Struthio camelus: one gene and its partner. The main gene of each other region encodes a partner of the protein of the gene in region 2 in a complex. Links are inferred from orthologs where the notes say so. Each region holds a gene or a part of one and is shown on either strand. Other genes may lie near its edges. The genes, in order: CSF3 and CSF3R.

Evidence for each region.
Region 1: the proteins of CSF3R (region 2) and CSF3 are in contact, whole or in part, in a crystal structure (PDB 2D9Q), measured with the Homo sapiens proteins. The link is inferred for Struthio camelus from reciprocal best matches to the Homo sapiens genes CSF3R and CSF3. Residues at the interface, in NP_000751.1 of Homo sapiens: Arg164, Arg190, Lys191, Leu193, Leu194, Leu195, Tyr196, Gln197, Asp220, Met222, His261, Ile262, Asn263, Arg311, Pro313, Leu314; in NP_000750.1 of Homo sapiens: Ser42, Leu45, Lys46, Glu49, Gln50, Arg52, Lys53, Leu141, Asp142, Asp145, Thr148, Thr149, Gln152.

The regions. Positions count from the first base shown.
Region 1 is NC_090966.1:6,760,485-6,770,507, reverse strand, and holds CSF3 (granulocyte colony-stimulating factor), read right to left. Parts: upstream 4,316-10,023; 5' UTR 4,190-4,315; coding exon 4,162-4,189; intron 3,820-4,161; coding exon 3,659-3,819; intron 3,493-3,658; coding exon 3,385-3,492; intron 3,202-3,384; coding exon 3,055-3,201; intron 2,756-3,054; coding exon 2,585-2,755; 3' UTR 1,686-2,584; downstream 1-1,685. Other genes in the region: PSMD3 (26S proteasome non-ATPase regulatory subunit 3), read right to left, coding at 7,418-7,495, 7,650-7,700, 8,060-8,215, 8,498-8,601, 8,744-8,863, 9,240-9,354, 9,545-9,648, 9,855-10,023. UniProt on the Homo sapiens protein: Granulocyte/macrophage colony-stimulating factors are cytokines that act in hematopoiesis by controlling the production, differentiation, and function of 2 related white cell populations of the blood, the granulocytes and the monocytes-macrophages.
Region 2 is NC_090964.1:10,342,428-10,351,898, forward strand, and holds the start of CSF3R (granulocyte colony-stimulating factor receptor), read right to left. Parts: upstream 3,802-9,471; 5' UTR 3,581-3,801; intron 3,058-3,580; 5' UTR 2,653-3,057; coding exon 2,583-2,652; intron 2,471-2,582; coding exon 2,171-2,470; intron 2,000-2,170; coding exon 1,879-1,999; intron 1,796-1,878; coding exon 1,608-1,795; intron 954-1,607; coding exon 799-953; intron 155-798; coding exon 1-154. UniProt on the Homo sapiens protein: Receptor for granulocyte colony-stimulating factor (CSF3), essential for granulocytic maturation. Plays a crucial role in the proliferation, differentiation and survival of cells along the neutrophilic lineage.

The DNA of each region.
Region 1 (10,023 bases), on a different chromosome or scaffold from region 2:
TGCAGGCACGGCACCCGCGGCCGGTGAGTAACGGGCCTCGCCACTGCTGCGCCGCGCCGGCCCCGGGCTGGGAGCGGCTCCCGGCACCCGGTCAGCTGCTTCGGTGGTGAATCCGCCTGTAATTGTCACAAAACCCCTTCCCTGAGGGGGTGACACCGTGGGGGCGGCTTCCCCTCTGCTCCTTTCATTAACGATTTCCGTTTGACTCATGAGAAACGGGGCCCCAGCACCATTTCCCCCTACCTGCCTTGCCCTTCTTGGGTGGGAGCCGGGTCCTGGCTGCGTCTCCTAGCCCGGGGCGGGCGCGCGGGGCCCAGGTGCTCTCTCCCCCGTGTCCGGCCGAGGTGCAGAGCGGTGCCGCAGTGCCGGAGCGGCGGTGGGGGGAAAGGCGGCCGATGGTGACGCGGGGCTGGCCTGAGCCCGTGGCCCCTGCGTGCAAGGGCAGCTCTTTACCGTTAGCTCGGAGCAAAGAGCAGAGCTGGGTGCCCGCAGCCTCTGTCAATATTTGCCTGCTCGGTGGGGGCCGTGCGGCTGCCCCGAGCTCGGCATTGGCCCTTCCCCAGCTCCCAGGGCTTCACCTTCCTGGAAGGGGCTGGAGCTGGCGCAGGGGTTTCCTGTAAGCGCTGATAAGCCCGGGCAGGAAGGCGCGATGCCTCCCGCTGTTTGTTCTTCAGAAAGGCAGCGCAGGGAGGGCGCACATCAAAATAAACACAGGCAGCGGCATCCCCACGGTGGTGAGGGGCAGGGGGACCGTGGGCTGGGGGGACGCGGGAGCAGGGGCCCGGCTGCAGCTGCCCCCGCGGGGCCGGGGCTGCCGGCGCGGTCACAGGACGCGAGCACGGGACCGGCAGGAGGAAGCACAGGCTGCTGCAACCCCGGGAGCGTGGGGACAGGCCGTGGTGGCCAAACGCCCGGTGCAGGAATAGGGAAGAGGCCGTGGGCTGCCCGCGTGGGCTCGCCTGGGACTGGCACGGCGGCTGCTGGGGCTCTGCCACGATCCAGGGGCTGCTCCGGGGCCAGGGCTCGGGCTCCCGGCTCTGCTGCCTGTGCCCAGGCGCGTCCGTGTGTCCGTCTCGGTTTTCCCGCTGCCGCCAGGCTCTGGGAGGCCCCCGGGAGCGCGGCCGAGGCATCATCGGTCCTGGGCGGCTCTAGAGCAAAATCCCCTTGTGGCAGGAGCGAAAGAGGAATTGCCGGGGGCCGGCGGTGCTGGTGCGTCACTGTCCAGCAGCGCATCGCGGGTTGGGAAGCGGACGAGGCCGGGAGCCGGGACCGGCCCGAGCATCACCGCCGGCCCTGCGCAGAGCCCTGAGTGCTCATCACGCCTGTGCTTCCCTTCCTGGGCGCGGGAAGGCTCTGTGCTGCCGGGGCAAAGAGCAGGGGGCTCACGGGCTGCTGTGTCGGGGCACCCCGGCTGCGCTGGCAGAGCTGCATGGCCCCCGGGCGCAGAGCTGCCGCCGGCGCTTTCTAGGAATCGGTGCTTGCCCAAGCCGCGCGGGAGGAAGCTGCCGCCCCCGCGCCGCGGGGAGCCGGGCCGGCCCTGGCCGCATCCGGGGCCCCCGCGCGCCCCGGCCCCGGAGGGGCTCTGCCCCAGCCGCGGGAGCCGCCGAGCTCGGCCCGGCCCGGCCGTCGCGGCCCCTTCACCCACAGTGCAGGCGGGGGACGGCGGGGAATGCAAACAGCCCACGTTTCAGAGCAAAAATAGAGTTTATTTCCGTTTTTTATAGTGTATAAAAAATACCATGTATTTCTCTGGGGCTAACCCAGCTGCAGTAATAAATACCAGTACAAAATACAGCGGGACGGAGCCCCTGCCAGGGCGCCGGCGGCCGCGCGGGCCCGGGAGTGCGGAGCCGAGCCGGGGCCGGGCGGACGCCGGGCTCGGGGGCCCGGACCGCGCCGCGGCCCCGCTCGCCAGGGCCGGGCCGTGAGCGGGGCGCCGCTCTCCCGGCCCTGGAAATGGGTGCGAATAAGTTAAACTGGGATAAATAGAGAGCGTTTAGCTCCAGGGGGGCAGCGCGGCTCCCCGGAGGCTGCTGCTTCGGCATCTTGCACCGACTGCGGGTCGAGAGCCTGGGGGCTCCTCCAGCCTCCCCTCCCGCCTGCTCTATACCTAATGGCTAATAAATATTAATTAATGTAAATATGCATAATACAAATAACACCCGTCAAAATCGTCCCTGCAGGGCTGTAAACCGGGCAGGGAGATGCTGCTCTGAAGCCTCTTCATCCCCGGACGGAGACGGTTTCCCCCTCGGCGCGGGGATGCTGAGGCAGGCAGCACCCGGCCAGGCGATGGGGAAACCGAGGCACGCGCAGCCGCCGGGCCTGGGCCCAGCTCCCGATCCTCGTAGCAGAGATACGCTTTTGTTTAAATATTAAACAAGGCTGATGCTGCGCACAGCTACCCGTGCGCGGACGGCACCCCGGGGCAGACCTGGGCCAGCTCCTCCATGTTAAATAGCGATAAATATTAAATAAGCGGAAAAGCCGGGCTGTCCCGGGGAGGGGGGCGCGGGGCGGCGCGGGGTGGCCCCGGCGAGCGGCAGGGAGCCCGCGGCCCGGCCTGGCTCCGCGCCGCCGGGCGTCAGAGCCGGGCCAGGTGCCGCAGCGCCCGGTACGCCGTCTCCAGGAACCGCTGGAAGTTGGCCAGGATGAAGAAGCCGCCGACCTGGTGGTGGAAGGGGGAGGAGAAGGCGGGGAGGGCGCCCCGCTCCTCGGCGGGGTACGTCACCGTGGCCAGGCCCAGGTCCTCCATCTAGAGCGGGGCAGGGGGACGCGTCAGAGGGGTCCTCGGACCGGAGGCGTCCGGAGAGCTGGCGTGAGCCCTGGCACCCCCTGCCTCTGCCCGGGGACGCGGTGCCACCCGGGGTGCCGAGCCCCATGTCCTCCCCGGGGGTGCCACCCGGGGTGCAGAGCCCCACGTCCTCCCTAGGGTGCCATGTGGGGTGCAGAGCCCCACGTCCTCCCCGGGGTGCCACCCAGGGTGCAGAGCCCCTCGTCCTCCCCAGGGCGCTGAGCCCCACCGCATCCCCGCCGTCCCCGGCTGCTCCTCACCTGCTGCTGGATGTTGGAGGAGAGGTTGGCGGCGTCGAGCTGCAGCGTCTCCACGAGGCCGGCGTGGGCGGGCAGCAGCTCGCGGACGGAGGCCAGGGAGCCGTGGTAGGCCTGGAGCCCCTCGCGGATCTGGCCGAAGCAGTCTTCCTGCGGGGATACGGCTGGGGTCAGCGGGGCCCGGCTGGGACCGGGGCCACCGCGGCGCCAGCGAGGGACCACTTTCGGCTTGGGGCAGCCAGAAGCGGTGGCAAAGCCGGCCGAGCAGCGGGGAACCGGCCGGGCTGAGACCGGCCAGCTCGTGACATGGGTGGTCCCCCGCGGCGCACTCACCGCCTGGAAGGTCCGGCTGTGGCACTTCTCCAGAGGGGCGTGGGTGATGTCCAGGTCCTGCCGCACCAGCAGCAGCTCTTCCTCCTCGCACAGCTGGAAGGTGTCGCACTGCGGCCGAGGAGGGGAGGGCGTCAGGGCGGCCGGAGCGGCGCGGGACCCCCGCTCCGCAGCCCTCCCCTGGCCGGACGAGCGCGGGCAGGGGAAGGTCACCTTATCCGTGACCCGGCGGCGCGGGTCCCCGGCGCTGCGCGGCCCCCGCGGTGCCGGCACTCACCACGGCGCGCTGCAGCGCGGCCACGTCCCCCTTGATCTTGCGGGTGAACTCGAGGTTTTTGCGCAGGAAGAGCTGGAAGTCCTGGTCGCCCGAGAACTCGGGCAGCGGCGCCCCGTGCAGCGCCCGCCACAGCGCCGCGCCCAGCACCGCCGCCAGCACGCCTGCGGGAGAGCGGCTGGCTCAGCGCCCGCCCGGGCGCCGCGCGTTTGGCCCCCAGCGCCGCAGGCAAGGCGCAAAGATGCCCCGGAAAGGAGGGCGGGCGGCTGCGCCCTCCCCGCGCCCCGCCAGCCCGCCGGTGCCAGCGTGTGCGGGGCCCTAGGGCGGTAGGGGTGCTCTGGGTGCTGGAGCGTCCTGGGTGTTGGGGTGCTGGGTGATGCAGGTGCTCGGGGTGCTGGATGCGGGGTGCTGGGGTGCTACAGGTGCTCGGGGCGTGCTGGGTGCAGGGTGCTATCGGTGCTGGGGTGCACCGGGCGCAGGGTGCACTGGGTGCTGGGGGTACTCACGGGTGAGGGAGCACATGGCGGTGGGCATCTCGGCGTCTCCTCCTCTCTGCAAGTGCTGCCCGGGCCGGCACAGCTCGCTCCTGCCCTGGCTCTGCGCGGCCTCATCGATTAGGGCATTTTATAGACGGCTCCGGGGATTCACACTGATGTGGCAACAGTGCTGATTGCCTCATTGTCTTAATCACCGATATGCAAATCCTGGGAGCTGGGCGCTCCCGGCCGGCCGGCCCGCGCCGCGGCTCGGGGGCTTTCCTGGCCCCCCGCCAGCCTGGTGCCGCTCCGTGCCGCAGGCACCCACCGGCCAGCCCAGGCGCCTGGGGCCGGCGGCTCTGGGCCGCGTGTTGGTGACTGATTAACTCGCCCACGGGGCTCCCGCCGTCTCAGGTGCCCGGTGCCGCTGGACCGCGGCCCAGGGCGGCTCGGAGCGGAGCCGGCGGCTTGGCGCAGCCTCGTCACCCGCCTCGTGCAGCCCCTGCCCGAGCGGCCGCCCCTCCGGCTCCGGCTCCGCCGGGCGCCCGAGCCCCTCGCCCCGGCGTCAGGGCGGGCGAGACCCCACAGCCCAGCCCCGGCAGGAGCCGGCCCTTCGCGGACGTGGCTGCCAGAGAAGCCCCGGGCGGCCGTGGCCCCGGAGCGAGCCCGGCTGCTCCCTGCCCTCCGGCTGCCCCGCTGCTCTGACGTGGGATTTTGGCTCCGGCCGGGTCCCACAAGTGCTTCCCGGGTTATTTGCTGTCTCGGTGCCAGCTGGGTCGGCTCCTGCCCAGCACGGGCCGGCTGGGACGCGGGGCAGCACCCGGGAAAGGGGCTGGTGGGATCCTGGCACCCAGGATTGCGGGGGGGGGGGCATCGCTCCTGCGCCACCGCCCTGCCACAGGGCCCCAGTCCCGTCCCTTCCCTCCCCCAGGCTGCAGGGGACGGGAACCCCCGGCCTCAGGCGCCGGGACCCTCGCTGCCCGCACCGGGCTGGGCCGACTCGTGAGCCGCGCTGCCCGCCACCACAGAGCCCCAAGCCCTTGGAGCCGCTCCAGCCTCCGGCTAGGTGAAAGGAAACACCTGGAAAGGCACAGCCCAGCTGTGAACACCACCCAGAGCCTTGCCCGGCATGAGGCAGGTGTTAACTCTTAAACCTAATGATAACTTTCCCCTCCCAGGGCCTGGAAGTACCATGTGTGCTGCCCTCAGGCTGTGTGAAAGCACCTCAGCAGTGGAGCCTGTTTGTGGGATTTTCCTGGGAGAAATTTGCCCCTCCTGGCTCTGCCTTTTCCCTCCCCGGAGCCAGGGGCAGCCGGGGCCCATCCAGATTAGGGCCCCCATGGAAAGGGGAGAGTGTGACCTGCTGGCACGCCCCTGGCATCACCCTTTTCCCCAGAGCTGAGCGGAGCTGCCATCTCAGCAGGTTGGTGCTTTCAGGAATCGGGGCTGTTGCGGTTTGGGGGGGGGGGCGTGAATCAGAGCCAAGTGGGGCCGAAAGCCCGGGTTGGCTTTCTGAGGAAGGAAGTGGTGTCCGAACTCGAAACCTGTGGGTGGCGAGGCGCGGGCGGGAGCGCTGGGCCAGCACAATTCGCCCGGGGCCGGAGCTGCCCCGGCCCGGCTGCGGGGACTGCCCCGGGCGCCCGCCCCGCTGCGGTTCTGCCTCGTGGCTGCCCTTCCCCTCCGCGGCCTCGCCCGGGGACCCTCCGGCCCCTCCGCCAGCTGCAAGGAAGCGAGCGTTTCCGAGGTGTCCCGAGTGCCGGATGCAGCAGCTACATCGAGCCGGGGCTGTCCCCTTCCCTGCTCCATCCCAGCTGGCAGGGTCTGACCTGTGGCTCCACTGATGTTCCCAGGGGACGGACAAGCCGTATCCGTTGCCCTGGGGCTGCCCCGTTTCTGACCCCCGTGGCCCTTGGCCACCAGCCCAGCTTGGGAGTGCCGGGAGATTCCCAGATTTCCCCAGAGGATGAGCCCAGCTGCCAGCAGGACCCCGCTGGGCCGCTGCATGTCCCCCAGTCCCCATCGCTCCCCCGAGGGGCGCAGAGACTCCAAGCGCGGCAGGGCTGGGTCTGGCACCCGGGCGCAAACCCCTTGGAGGGATGGGGCAGATCCTGGGGGGTCCCTTGCTCCCTGGGCCAGCACCTATGGGGCTGGGAGGGCTGCGGGGCACCAAGAGGGTCCTGCTTGGAGCAGACCTGGTGTCTTTCCCGGCAGGCAGGAGGGGGATGTGGGGCTCAGCCCCTTCCCGCCCAGGCAGCGCTGCTGTGTGCTTGCTGTGTACACAGGCTGCCGGGCAGGCTGCTAATCCTGGTAATCCCTGCCCTGGCCTTCGTTTGCAGCTCCAGAACAAAGCAGCTTTTGGGGAAACAGGATCCTGGCGGCTGGTGTCTGTCAGCACGGCTGAGGCACTCCCAGCACCAGCCCCACTGCTGGCAGCGTGCCACAGGCACCCACACTCAGCTCAGCCCCCAGCTGTGCACCACGTCGGGCCAATGCTGCTGGGCCGTGCACCCTGGGGCCCCTGTCCCCACCTCCTGGGGCCTCAGCGCAGCCAGGATGCGTCCACAGCCCAGCTCCAGGGATCGGATCCTGCTGGGACTGGCGGTGCCTTGACCACACAGCTCCACCTGTCAGCTTCAGGCCTGGAGGTTTGTGTGGGCTGGAGCCAGTCCCAGCTCTGGGCTGGAGCAGGAGTATCTGGGCACCAGCAGCACTCCAGGTACCCCCACGGCCATCCAGAGCAGCCCACAGCTGCTTTTCCAGGCCTCTGATGGCCCTGGCCAGCCCCATGCTTGCTCACAGACTTGAGAACAAACTCACAGCCAGAACAGAGCAGGCTGGTGTTTTTCCAACTTTTATTTTAAAAGTCATAATTGAAGCTTAACAAAGCCTGACCCCATTATTGTTGTGAGAGCCGGGGGCAACTGCAGTCCCCGTGGAGCCCTTCTACCGACCCCCGCCCACCCCAGCCCCGCTTCCCGTGGAGCTCCCAATTCATGGGCCCTTGCGTGCCTCCGCGTGGGGCTCTGCAACGACTTCGACCACAAGCAACCTTAAAAGAACGTTTGTTTACTGGGGAAGGGGGTTCCCTCCGTGGGTGGTGAGGGCAACGAGAGAGCAGGGCCTGTGGCTGTGGGCCCAGGGAACCCACGTGTCCCCCTCCCCCGGTACAGACATGCAGGTATTTATAAAAGAAAGGCAGATCGGGGACCGGGGCCGCGTGAGGCAGCTCTGCTCAGACAGCATCTTCCCTAGGGACAAATAAAAAAAGTACGGCCAAGCCAGAGGGTCACGGGAAACCGTCATCATCGTCTTCTGCCATCTCCTTTGCAAACTCCAGGTCCTGCTGCTCACGCTCCCGGCGCTCCTGGAAAGTGAAGGCAGAAGTTAGCGGCCATGAGGGAGAGGATCCGGGTCCTTCCAATGGCCTTGGTGACTGCTGGGCTGCAGCATGAGCAAGCCTTCTGCCAGTACACAGCCAGCTGAGCCAGAGGGCAGCAGAGGCACGGATGAGGTCTCACCTCTGCAGATTCCAAGTCCTTGTTGTAAGATTTGGGCGGGAACCTCATGGCCTGGAAAAACAAGGGAGACAAGAAGCTGTGAGCAGAAAGAGGCCTCGACTCTGCCCTGTTGTCCCCTTCTGCCAGGCAGAAAGCCACTGCGTTCAAGCCAGCTCTGTCCCAGCCTTAGCTGGACCTCCTTTTCCCATCGGGGCTGAACCTGGGAAGGCAATAAGATGCCTGGGCCAGTTCTGGGAGGCTGATGGAGCCCTCTTCCCTCCAGCTCTGCAGAGAAGCCCTGTGATTCCCTGTGGACGTGCCTGAAGCCTCCCAGTGTGGCCCATTCACCTGATAGGGCAATCCCAGTGGCAAAGGCCCTGCCAGAGAATCAGCTGGAGACCAGCGTGAGGTGCCTGTGCTGCTGCGCTCACCTTGACAGACATGTTGTGGATGTCGAGGCAGAAAGAGATGCGCTGGTGAAATGCCAGCTGGGGCTCCCGGGTTGAGTAGATGTCGATCATTTCTTTTGACTGGACATAACCCTTCTCATGGTTAATGCTGGCCTCGATCACGCCATCCCGGATGGCCTGCAAGCCGGAGGGCACGTGGTCAGGGCACCCGCTGTCTCTGAGGGCTGAGGCAGCAGTTTAGCGCGAAGGGAGTTGGCTGCTGCAACAGGAGCGCTGGACTCGGGACACAGCGCACAGAGACGGGACATGGTGACCTAAGTGTCCCCAGGAAGGGAGTGTTGCAGAGATGGGCGGAAGCAGCCTGGCAGCAGTGCAAGGCCAGCTGCAAGAACCAGGAGCTGCAGACAGGTCCTGGGACCCAGAAGTCATACAGTCGTGTGAGATTTCATATGCAGCTACCTTGGCAACGATGAACTCTGCATCCTCCGGACTGTCCAGCTGTAGCTTCTGGGCGATATCAGCCAGGGAAATGCGAGAATAGGAGAGGCTGATCATACGGACACCTGAGACAAGAAGAAAGAGAACTGAGCCCGCTTTTGCCAGGCAGCCACAGTCCCAGGTGCACAAGGTGACACTCAGCTGCCCGCCAAGCCTGCAGCACCAGCTGTGACACAGCCCCCAAATACCAGAGCGGCAACCTCCTACCTGTCTTGATGACGTTGTGCCTCAAGCGAATGATCAGGGTGTAGGTCCCGTCGGCCTGGAACTTGTCCCCAAACTGATCGAGGACCTGGTTGAACTTGGCCAGGTTCCCAGTCCTGACGGCTGGAGCAGGCAGATGAAGGGGGAGAGAACGTGTAAATCGGGGAAGGATCTAAGGCCGAGGTGCTAGCAGGGAATGTGAGGCGGGGGCCTGACTCCCAGGCCTGCCATCCATTCCTCTTATGAGCTGAGAGGAGAACCCAGGTGTCCTGCGCCCAGCTGCTCAACAGCCTTTCAGGGACTGTGGACTCGCACTTCAGACTGGCACCAAGAGGAGTCTGGCAGCTGGGTCCCTTTGAGGCAAGAGGAGAGAAACCCCCATTGCTCACCACCCCCCCAAGGCTTCCCGCTCCCTTGAAGCACAAAACATGGTGCCAAGACATCACAGTGCCACGGCTCCCAAGAGGAGCCGAGCATGGGCAGGAACGGCCCGTCGTACCCTGAGTCAGGAGGAAGTAGGGCATGAGTGACCGCTTGAGAGAGGGCTGCCTGAACTGGAGCCTGTCCGGGATCTCCCCTAGCAGCAGTTCCACCACGATGAGCAGCTTGTGCACCTTAAGCAAAAAGAGACTATGAGTCCCCAGAGAGCCCAGGCTAAGGCTAAACCCTGCGGACAGCTTCCCCACAGGAGCAGAATGGAGGGAAGCCAGCAAGGTGGTGAGACCTACCCTGCCCCAACTGCGATCCACAACCAACAAGGAACCAACACCCCCGAGCGCTTGTGCGCTTCCCATGCTTGCTCACCGTCTGTTTGAAGCCAACAGCTGTGTGCTGTGGTGCCTTCCGCAGGGCATTCGTCATGGTCCTCCGCGCCTCTGAATACTCCAGCTGAATGGCCTTGATGCGCCCTGGGAGAGGGAGAGGGTTCACACGAGGCAGGAAGCGTTTGGAAAAGCCACCGAGTGAATCCAACTGGACCCACCTGGCTGGGGCTTTAAATTCAGAGTTGAAGCCCCAATGCCGACTGCTCAAACAGATTTTCTGGAGGACCAGAGACCCAAATCTCACATGCATCCTGATCTGCCAGTGGCATGCAGGACCCTCTGTATCTCACCTGTGTAATAGAGGTACCGTGCCCACTCGTTGTTGTTGGCCTGCTCAGGAAACACGGACTTGGAGACGAGCTTTTCTGCTTGGTCGTAGAGGTTGTAGTGAAGGTAGTTCCTCAGCAGCAGGTTCAGGAGGGTGGCCTGCCCGTCTGCATCGTGGCGCAGCGTGGCTGT
Region 2 (9,471 bases):
CTTTCTCGTGGGTGGTGAAGTTCCTGCCCGGGCTCCACTCGCTCCAGTAGCCCCCGGGCGAGGGCCGCCGGCAGCGCATCTCGAAGTGGTACTGCGTCCCGAAGAGGAAGCCGCAGTGCTGCGTCGGCCGGGCCTGGCTGCCGATGCCGGGGACCTGCGGGCAGCCGGAGCAGGGGCTGCGTTAGCTCCCCGACGGGGCGGCTCCTCCCCGTCCTGCCCCGGAGCCGGGGCCAGGGGCAGCCCTGGAGCGCGCGGTGGGTCTGCGGCAGGCGCTTGGGGTCTCTGCCACCCGCCCGGGGCAGGGAAGGATGAGGACATGCACCCTCGCCAAGGACGGAGGGTTTTGCGGGAGCCGGCGTGTGCCTGCGAGGCAGGTCCGTGGGGCGGCTCTGCGGCAGCCCGGGCCACGGTCGCCGGCAGGAGCACGCAGCAGGGAACCCAGTGCCGGGCTGGCCTCAGCCGTGAGGCCTCCTCCGGGGCACGGAGGAGCTCGGTGAAGGGGGATCACACAGGTGTGGTGAGATGTGGTGGCCTCGGCACGCAGCCCAAGTAAGGACCGGCAGAAAGCAGGAGCTTGCATGACAGCACCGTGGGAAAAACACTGCTGCCATATCCCTCCCGTAGTGAGCAAGGCTGGGAGGAAAGCGCAGGCGCTGATCGGTACCCAGAGGTGCCCAGGTGCACAAAGCAGGGTGCAAAATCTGGCAGAGCGAGGAGCAGATGTGGGGAGTGCTGGTTCCTGCTCGCCTGCAGCCCCTCGCCGGCCCCTCTCCAGCCCCGGCGCTGAGCATCGCTCACCAGCGCCCAGGCCGGGTCCTCTGGGCTCCTGTAGCGCAGCTCACACTGCAGCTCCATGTGCGCGCTGGTCCGGGCGGCCTCCCAGGACACCGAGACGCAGTCCGTCTGGTGGGGGATGGACTGGATGCTCTGCAGCACGGGAGGGTCCAGCTTGGCTGGAGGGAAAGCCGGGCAGAGCTGGAGATGCTGCGGGCGGACGGTGCCCGTGCGGGCCGGCGGGGCTCTGCACCCCGGCTCTGCCAGGGCTGCAGCCTCGCGCGTGGCCGAAGGCACCGTTGTTATTAACGCCGCGAACCGCAGCCCTGGCTCTGGCCTGCTCTGACCTCCTGGCAAGTGGGATTAGACAGAAACAGCCCCAAAACATTTTGGAGAACGGCTTGTGGAAAGGGCCCGGAGCCAGCGTGCAGTGAGGTGCAGACGCCCCGCGCGGCCACAGCGGGCTTCGCGGGCGGCTCTTCCCTGGGTGCAGACCAGGGACGACCAGTCTCATCGTCTGAGGAGGTTTCTTTTTATAAATAGTTTATGGGAGTTGTATGTATTATTAATAGACCTCCTGAAGAAACGGGTAATCAATTGCTGGAGAGAGTTGTAGAGTGCAGCAGGTCAACCGACGGCTCATACCCAGCCGGCACACGCTGCTCAGGTCTGTAATACGGCTCTGGCACCTATTCATCTTCGCAAGCCGTTTATCATGGGAACCTAAAAGCCTGACGTGCTGTCACGGCACTCTAAAATCCCTCCCGCACCGATAATTAGTTTCCGTGGCCCGCGACGGCCGCTCGGGGCAGGAGGCTCCCGCCGTCACTCACCGACGTCCATGGGGTCGATGCGGAGGCGCTCCGACTCGGCCGTGCCCAGGGCGTTGCGGGCGGACACCCAGATGTCCATTTTCCGGTAGAGCTGGAGCAGCCTGCGGGGCACGGTGCAGCAGTGGCAGCCGCCCCGCGGGGTGCAGCCCGTCACCGCCTCGCCGGCGGCCTCCCGCTGCGCTCTGCTCCTGCCGACGGAGACGGGAGGGCTCGGATAAGCGGGGATAGGGGCCGGGGGCCGGAGAGCAGGGGCGCCGCGCGGCCCGCTTACGTGGCGCACTTGAGGGCGACGGCGGTGGGGAGGCTGTCGGCTCCCCGCTCCCACCGGCACGTCAGCCCGTAGTCGCTGAGGTTCAGCATGCAGGTGAGGTTGAAGGGCTTCGCAGGCGGGTCTAGGGAGAAAGCAGCCAGGAGGAGCCTGAGCAAACCTGCCCCAAACCCTGCGCCTCGGCGTGCTGGGGAGCACCCAGGGCAGCTCCGCGGAGGCCCGGGTCGGCGGCCCCCCCGGCTGCCCAGCCCCAGCCACGCCAGGCCTGGCCGCGCGCCCCGCGGGGCAGACTCACAGCCCGCCTGGATCTCCGCCACGCCGACCCGCTGCCGGGTGCCGTTCCACTCCACGAGGCACCACAGCCTGGCCTGGCTGCGGCTGAAGTTGGCCACGGTGAGGTCGGACACCTCCGTCCCCCCCGGGCCGCGGCGCTGCCTGCCGGCCAGGGGCTCGCCGTCCAGCATCCAGGCGATGCGGATCTTCCCGCGCTCCAGCCCGCGGCAGAGCTCGCTCTGGACGGTGCAGGACGCCGTGACGGCCGATCCCAGGGGGACGACGGGGGAGCCCACGGCCACCGAGGCGCAGCCCTGGGTCCCTGCGGGCGGGAAAAGGGCGTCACGCCCAGGGCACGGCCGCGGCCGAGCCGGCCGGCCCCGTGGCACCCAGGCAGGGCAGAGGGGCGAGCGCGGGGCTGGGCACCCACTCACCGCCCAGGGAGAGCAGGAGGAGCAGGGAGAGCCGCTGCAGCAAGGTTGTCCCGGCGCCGTGCCTGGCCATGATCCGCTCCTTGGCTTTGGCATCACCTGGAGTTCAGACACGGGCTCCTCTCGGCAGGTCGGGGAGGGGGCCGGGAAGCGGCCGGATTAGATCCCCCTTGCTGCGACAACCGCGGGTGCTTGCTGGAGCCCAACGTCCTCTGGGCGCAGCCTCCCTCCGGCGGCCCTTCCGCAGCGCTGACACATCCGAGCCGCCCGCGGGGCACCGACGACGGGAAGGGGCGCGGGGCGCGCGGCTCTGCCCGGCCACCGGCTCTCCGCCCTGCTCTCCCCGTTTCCGCAGCACGAACCTGGAGCTGCGCTCCGGGCACGAGCTGCTTTTATCTCAGGTACCTTCTGTCTCTGCCGGGGACAGATTTGTGGTTTAAGCAAGGGTGAGAGCTGAGGTTTTGGGTGGCAGAGCGGTCTGATAAGCAGAAAGGAGGAAAGGAATGAACGAAGGCGATGCAGCAGGGTCTGCAGGGCCTCGGGGTCCTGCCCGCACCCTCTCTCCTGCGCTTCCCCCCTCCACCTGCATCCCCCGGCCGCTGCCGGGAATGGATCCAAACCTCCCTGCGCTGCGCCCGGGGCAGCCGGAGCCACCGAGCCGCCTCTCCGGCCCCTGCCCGGCTGTGCGGCACCCCTTTCCCCGGGGCGTTCGCGGCTGCCTCCTCCTCGGTGGGGGACACGTGCCCCCCCGAGGGGCTGCCCGCGCCGGCACCCGCCTCTGGCACGCTCCTTGCCCCGGAGCCGGCATGCAGGGGCAGGCAAGCCCGGCACGGCTGATGGGAAAGCAGCCGCCGGCGGCGCACCCCTGCTCCGGCACGCGGCCGTCCCCACCGCCGGGCCAGGCACGGCCGTCGGCGCAGCCGCGGGTAACGCGCTGGGTCCGCGCCGCCGGGGCACGCCGGGCGGCCCGCGCTCACCGGACCCCGGCGCCCCGTCCCTACCTCGCCTCTGCGCCCGCCGCCTCCGGCCGCCGCTCACCGCCCGCTCCCAGCGCTGGTCTCCGGCTCCCGGCGCATCGCCGCGCTCAGCCCGTTTGCTAGCACGCTGCTCTCACCGTTAGTTCCTCAAAACCAGTGCCGTTAATTGCTGTGACTCTGGAGAAGGTGATTGCAAAACACTTCCCTGAAGGCTGTGCCTGCCGTGCTCGCTGGCAGGAAGGGGAGCCCAGGGCACACGTCCAGCGCCCGGAGCGGGACCTGCCGCCCGCCCCGCCGGCCCTCGGCAGCGGGGCCGGGGCAGCGGCCGCCTCCTTGCTGCAGCCTGCCGGGGCCGGGCCGGGGGACGCGGCGCGCGGAGGGGCAGGAGGCGGCCGCGGGCGGGTGCTGAGCGCAGCTGGCGCACTGCAGCTCCCAGCTCCCAACCCGCTCCCGCGCTCCTGCTCGGCACCCGCCGCGGGGGTCTGGGCTCGTCCCCGCATCCTCGTCCTCCTGAGCTCCAGGGTCCTCGCCTGGGATGCGTCTCCCAGGTTCCCGGGAGCATCCGCACCGTGTGCTGCGGGCCCCCTGCACCGGCCCTCCCGGCCGCTCGCAGCCACGCAGGGACCGTCCCTCCCAGAGCCTGGCTCTGGCGAGAGCAGTCCTGTCCCCGATTTGCTCTAAATCGCCCCCATCCCCATCACGCGAGCTCCACGGGCCAGGAAGCACCGTGGGACCTCGAGGGGCTCCTGTGCCGGGGCCCGTGGAAGGCAGGATCCGGCCCCCGGCCCCAGCAGCTGCCTCCCAGCCCGGTGGCTCCCAGCAGGACCCAACGACGTGTCCCAGAGCTGGGGGACCAGCGAGGTGCCGCAAGGGCAGAGGGAGACCCAGCTTCGCCCCCGGTATGTCCCCGCCCCGGCCCTTGGCCCAGGTTCGGGGCCGGGGGCTTCCAGCGGCTCCTTCGCCCGGGGGGCCAGCAGCTGCCCCACGGCAGCTCCTCGCTGCGGCTGGGACCAGGCAGGGCTGCCCGGTCGCGCCGCGTCCTGCGGACGTGGGAAAAACCCCGGGTCCAGCAGGACGGAGCCGGAGCATCCGGGTAAACAGGGGATTGCCCAAGCTACGACGCACTCGCAGCCTTCGCAACGGAGGCATTTATTGTGCAAACAACTGTTTACTATGGGATTTACGGCATGCGTGCGTCGAGTCTAGCGGCACGCTACCCAGCGCTCCCGCAGCTCCACACTGCGCCTTACCCCGGGGCCGACGGGCACGCGGGTGCAGGGCATCCGCGCAGGGAGCCGCGCTCCCGCATCGCCTCCCGCCGAGGAGGGCTGCTCGCTGCAGGTGGCACACGGCCGTCTCGCCACACACCCCGACTGCCCCGTGGGGCAAAGCTCCTTCCCCAAAGCCCTACTCTGCCCCCGGGCCCTGGCGGGTTGCCCGCAGCAGGCCTGGCCCCGTGCAGCCTGCAGCCCGTGGGGAGCGGCGGGTGCAGGGGCAGCAGCAGCTCCTGCTGCTCGTCAGGGGTGATGCGCTGGAGAAACGCGCAGCCGTTGCATCAAAACTGTAGAGGTTGAGCTAAGGGAGCAGGAAGCCAGCGGGAACATTGTGGCCAGCTGTGGGCTGCTGCGCTGGGGTGCCTGCAAACACAGGATGAGGCCTGGGAGCAGCTCCTCCGGTGCCAGCACATGACCAGCAGCCCCTGCCCCAGCTCTGATGCTGCTGCTGCTGCTGCTGCCCCAGCTCTGCTCCTGCCCCAGCCCCAGCTCCCAGTCCTGCTCCTGCCCCAGCTCTGCTCCTGCCCCAGCCCCAGCTCTGCTCCTGCTCCTGCTCCTGCCCCAGCTCTGCTCCTGCTCCTGCCCCAGCTCTGCTCCTGCTCCTGCCCCAGCTCCCAGTCCTGCCCCAGCCCCAGCTCCCAGTCCTGCCCCAGCCCCAGCCCCAGCCCCAGCCCCAGGGATCCTGCCCAACGCTGGCCTCCTCAGTCCTCCTTCCTCCCCGATCAGCTCAGCTGTGCTGCTCCCAGCAGCAACTCTCCCACCTGCAGTGAATCCATCCTGCCTATTAGCAGCTGCGGCGGGGCGAGCCGGGCTGGGGCCAGGGAGGCTGATTAGCCGCCTGGCACCAGCCCCGCTGTGCTGCTGCCGGTCGCAGGGTCGGCTGCGGGAGCGCGGCCCCGGCCGGGCCAGCGGTGCCCCCGGAGCAACCCCAGGCCCTATTGCAGCGTGAGCCCAGGGCTCCCCGAAGCAGCGTCTCCACCTGCTTCGCTGCCCAGTGGCTGCCGGCTGCCGTCTGCTGTCCGGCGACGTGGCTGAGCCCCTCTGGCAGGGCACCGTGGGTGCTGGTGCGGGGCGCCCTGCCGGGGCGACCGGGGATGCTGAGGGCCTCGTCTGCCCACGGACCCTTCTCACCCAAGGCAACATCCCCCAGTGCTCGCTGCAGAATTGCACCTGGAAACATCAACAGGCTGCGTTTTCCTGGGCTGCAGGGAGCCCGTCCCCCCGTCGCATCCCGCCAGGCCTGTCCCCTCGCGCCGCAGGCTGCCTCCTCCAGCCGGAGCGTTGCGCAAAGGTTGTTTTTCACATGCACGGTCTCCGTGTTTCCGCTCCGGGCAGAGGTGCGGCTGGGATGTGTTGCCCTGCTGAGCACTCACCTCCCCGCCAGGCCCTGGCCGGGCCAGCCCTGGCGGCTGCGAGGTGGCCAAGCTGCCCCACAAGCGCCCACCGGCCTCCAACCCCCCAGGAGAGATTTTGGGGAAAAAAGATAGCACAGCTGAACCATGCAGCGTGCTGAAAATCAGCCTGTGCCAGCCAGCGCCGGGGCTCCGCCGGGCTTTGGCACAGCCGGCTGCGGAGCTCTGCTCCCCCGGAGCCCAGCGCTGCCCCGGCGTGCCCGCCGCTCGGTGAGCGCTGCCTTGCCCGGGGCCAAGCCGCCGTTTGCTTTTCCTTGCTGCTCGCCAGCCTCAGCGCTGGCGCTGTGGCCAGCCCGTGCCCGGGCTCTGGGCAGGGCCTGTCCCCGGCTGCGGTCCCCGGAGCCGGGGTGCTCACGGGGGAGCCGGCACGGGCAGCGCGTGCACGGGGGATGCAGGTGTTTCGGCAGCTCCCAGGAGAAGATGGGACAAGTTTTCTCTTTCCTCCTCCTGGTGCCCCTGCAGTGGCTCCGACGGTGCCCGGTGACACCGTTCCCAGCCGGGGGCTGTTTCCCACAGCTGCCCTGGGCAGGATGGGGAGGGAGAAGTTGCCATTGCAACATTTTCCTTGGGTGTAGCAACCCCCAGCGCTTTACCACGGAAATCTGCCTTCTTGCAGGCTGTTTACGGCCCAGAGCAGGAATATTCGTTCTGGTAACTATGGTGACATGGGCATCTCCGTGGGAACCGCGAGGGAAGTAGAAAGCTGTAAACATGAAGCTGGACAGAAAACAAATGCTGCCCTCCCCGCGCCCCATTGCACCCGGCAGCCTGGCCTGGGGGCGCGGGGCCAGGGCTCGGCTGGGGCCAGCGCTGCTCCGAGCCCAGGAAGCCGCTGGGTCCTGGGGGCTGCGCTGCCCTGCGGCTGCATTGCCCCGGCATGTGCGCGGGGGGCACATGGGCGCGCGGATGGGCCGTGCATCCCGGGGCGCGCGGATGGGCCGTGCATCCCTGCGCTCACGGGACGGTGCATCCCTGCACGTGCGGCTAGGGCTGCGCACCCTGTACACATGGATGAGGGGATGCCCCTGCGTTCGCATGTGGGACTGTGGGACTGGCACCCACCTGGTGCACACCTGCCCTCGTGCTCATGTGGCCCTACTCCGCAGGGAAAGGGTTTGTCCCCCAAGGAGGCGCTGGCATTGCCACTCCGGCAGTGCTGGGCGCTCAGCTCTCCCTGCGCGGTCCTGGTGCAGCGATCCCCTTCCCCAGAGCCGTGGGGCTGGTCGCAGATCGGGGCAGGGAGCTGTCGCTGCCCCATGACCGCACTCTCGGTTCCCCTTTGGCTCTGAGTCACCCTCACAGGCTCCCAGACCCTTCCCCACCTCGGCGGGGCTGGGAGGGTCCCTGGCTGCTCCCGGCAGGGTCCTGCAGCCCGAGCACGTGGGTCCCGGCCGGCCCGCAGGGGCTGCGGGAGCCGAGGTGGGGAGGATGCCGCGGGGGCACGGGCGCGCGGAGGAAGCCGGAGGGGACACGGGGTCCCTGCGGGAGGGGGCAGTGCCGGGCAGGCGGTGGCAGGGGCACCCCGGTTCGGAGGCAGGGCAGGCGCTCGCAGCCCGGGCAAGGCGCGTCGCGGGGCCGCGAGCCCCCGGCCCGTGGCGCAAGAGCCGCCTCCGTGCCCGGCCGGTGACGCAGCGAGTGGGAACTCGGAAAGGGGAAGTGGCAGCGGGGCTCCGAAGGGCTTTTCCAGAGTTGCAGCGCGTGGGATGGGGAGCCAAAGCCCAGGCTGACCTGGCAGCCCAGCGCGCCCCGGCCGCTGCTTGCAGCCATCTGCACGTCGCCCTGGGGCTGACAGAGGGGAAGGGCCCGAGCCCTTCCCGGCAAGGCAGCATCAGCTTCCCGCGCCCGGGCACGGGCGCCACCGCCATCCCTCGCTCCCGGCGCAGGGGCAGCGCGGAGCATCTCCGCTTTCCCACCGAGCTGCCGAAGCGAGGTCTCTGCCCGGCGGTGCGGCTGGCGGGCTCCTGCCACCCAGACACCTCCCGGACGGTCTCCCCGGGCCGGGGGGCCGGGCGAGCTGGGCACGGAGGCGAGAGTGCTTCCCGCAGCCAGATGCCGGCGGCTGTCAGGCATGTTATCAGCCCCTCTGATTTAATCCCTGCTGGGTGGATCATTGCTATTAGGCAAAGTAAAGTATGTTACTGGCTTGCATCCGCTCAGCTGCCAGCAAGAACCAGCATCCCTAAAGAGATTTTTCCTTTTCTTCTTTTTATTCCGTAAAAAAAAAAATGCTGCCAGCCATGTAGGATGCAAGATCTAAGCACAAAACCTGGTGCAGTCTCCAATGTGCCAGGTTTCCCTGCTGTCCAACACGATTAATTCAACAAACCGCGTTGTTCCGCCCCTGGGCGATGTGGTGGGAGGTGAAGGCTGCGCGGCGGCCGCGGGGGGCTGCGCCGGGACACGGCCACGATGCCTCCGGGCTGCTGGCTCCCGCCTCGCTCCCGTCCCAGGGGAGCAGCCGGCAGCGCCCGGCGCCCTCGGCTCCCGGTGCCGCGGGGACGCTCGCCGCCGCCGGCAGCCTTTGCTGCGTGCGCGGATCGAGAGTGAATGGATTGCACGGGGTCCGAGCAGCCGACCTCGAACAAGGCTCCCGACACGTTACTGCAATTAATGAGGCAGCGGCATTAATCATCCTGGTAGAGGAGGGTCCGTGGTGGGAGCGGGGAGGGGGGACGGGAGCGAGCGGGGCTGAGCGCTGCCTGCGCTTCGCCCCGTTATCCAGGGGGTTATCCGGGGCAGGTGCTGGGTGCCTCTCCGAGGAGGGTGCTGAGCCCCCGCAGCCCGGCGAAGCTGGCGGAGACGGGCCGCTCCTCTCGCTGCGGCCGGCGCGGTGGAGCCGCCGGACTGCGCCCCGGCGAGCGGATTATCGCTGCGTTACAGGCTCAGCGGCCGGCCAGGATGGACGAGTGTCATGTCGGGAGACTGAGGTCTGTCTGAGCTCTGCGCTGCGTTTCGGCGGAGGGGACGGGAGCGATCCATCCCGCGCGTTCTCGTTATCCGCACAGGGAGAAACGCCACCGGCAATTTCCCCGGCCCGCCACGAGGCAGGAAACGAGAGCTGCCGGCAAACGAGGACCCCCGGCAGGCCCGGCGGGGCGGAAGGATGGCGCAGCGTGGGCACGGGGCGCTGGGTGCTGGGTGCTGCACCAGCCCACAGGCGCCCAGAAGCACTCGGACACTGAGGGAGGAGGATTTCGTTCTGCTCCCCGCCACGGCGCCCTCGTCCCTC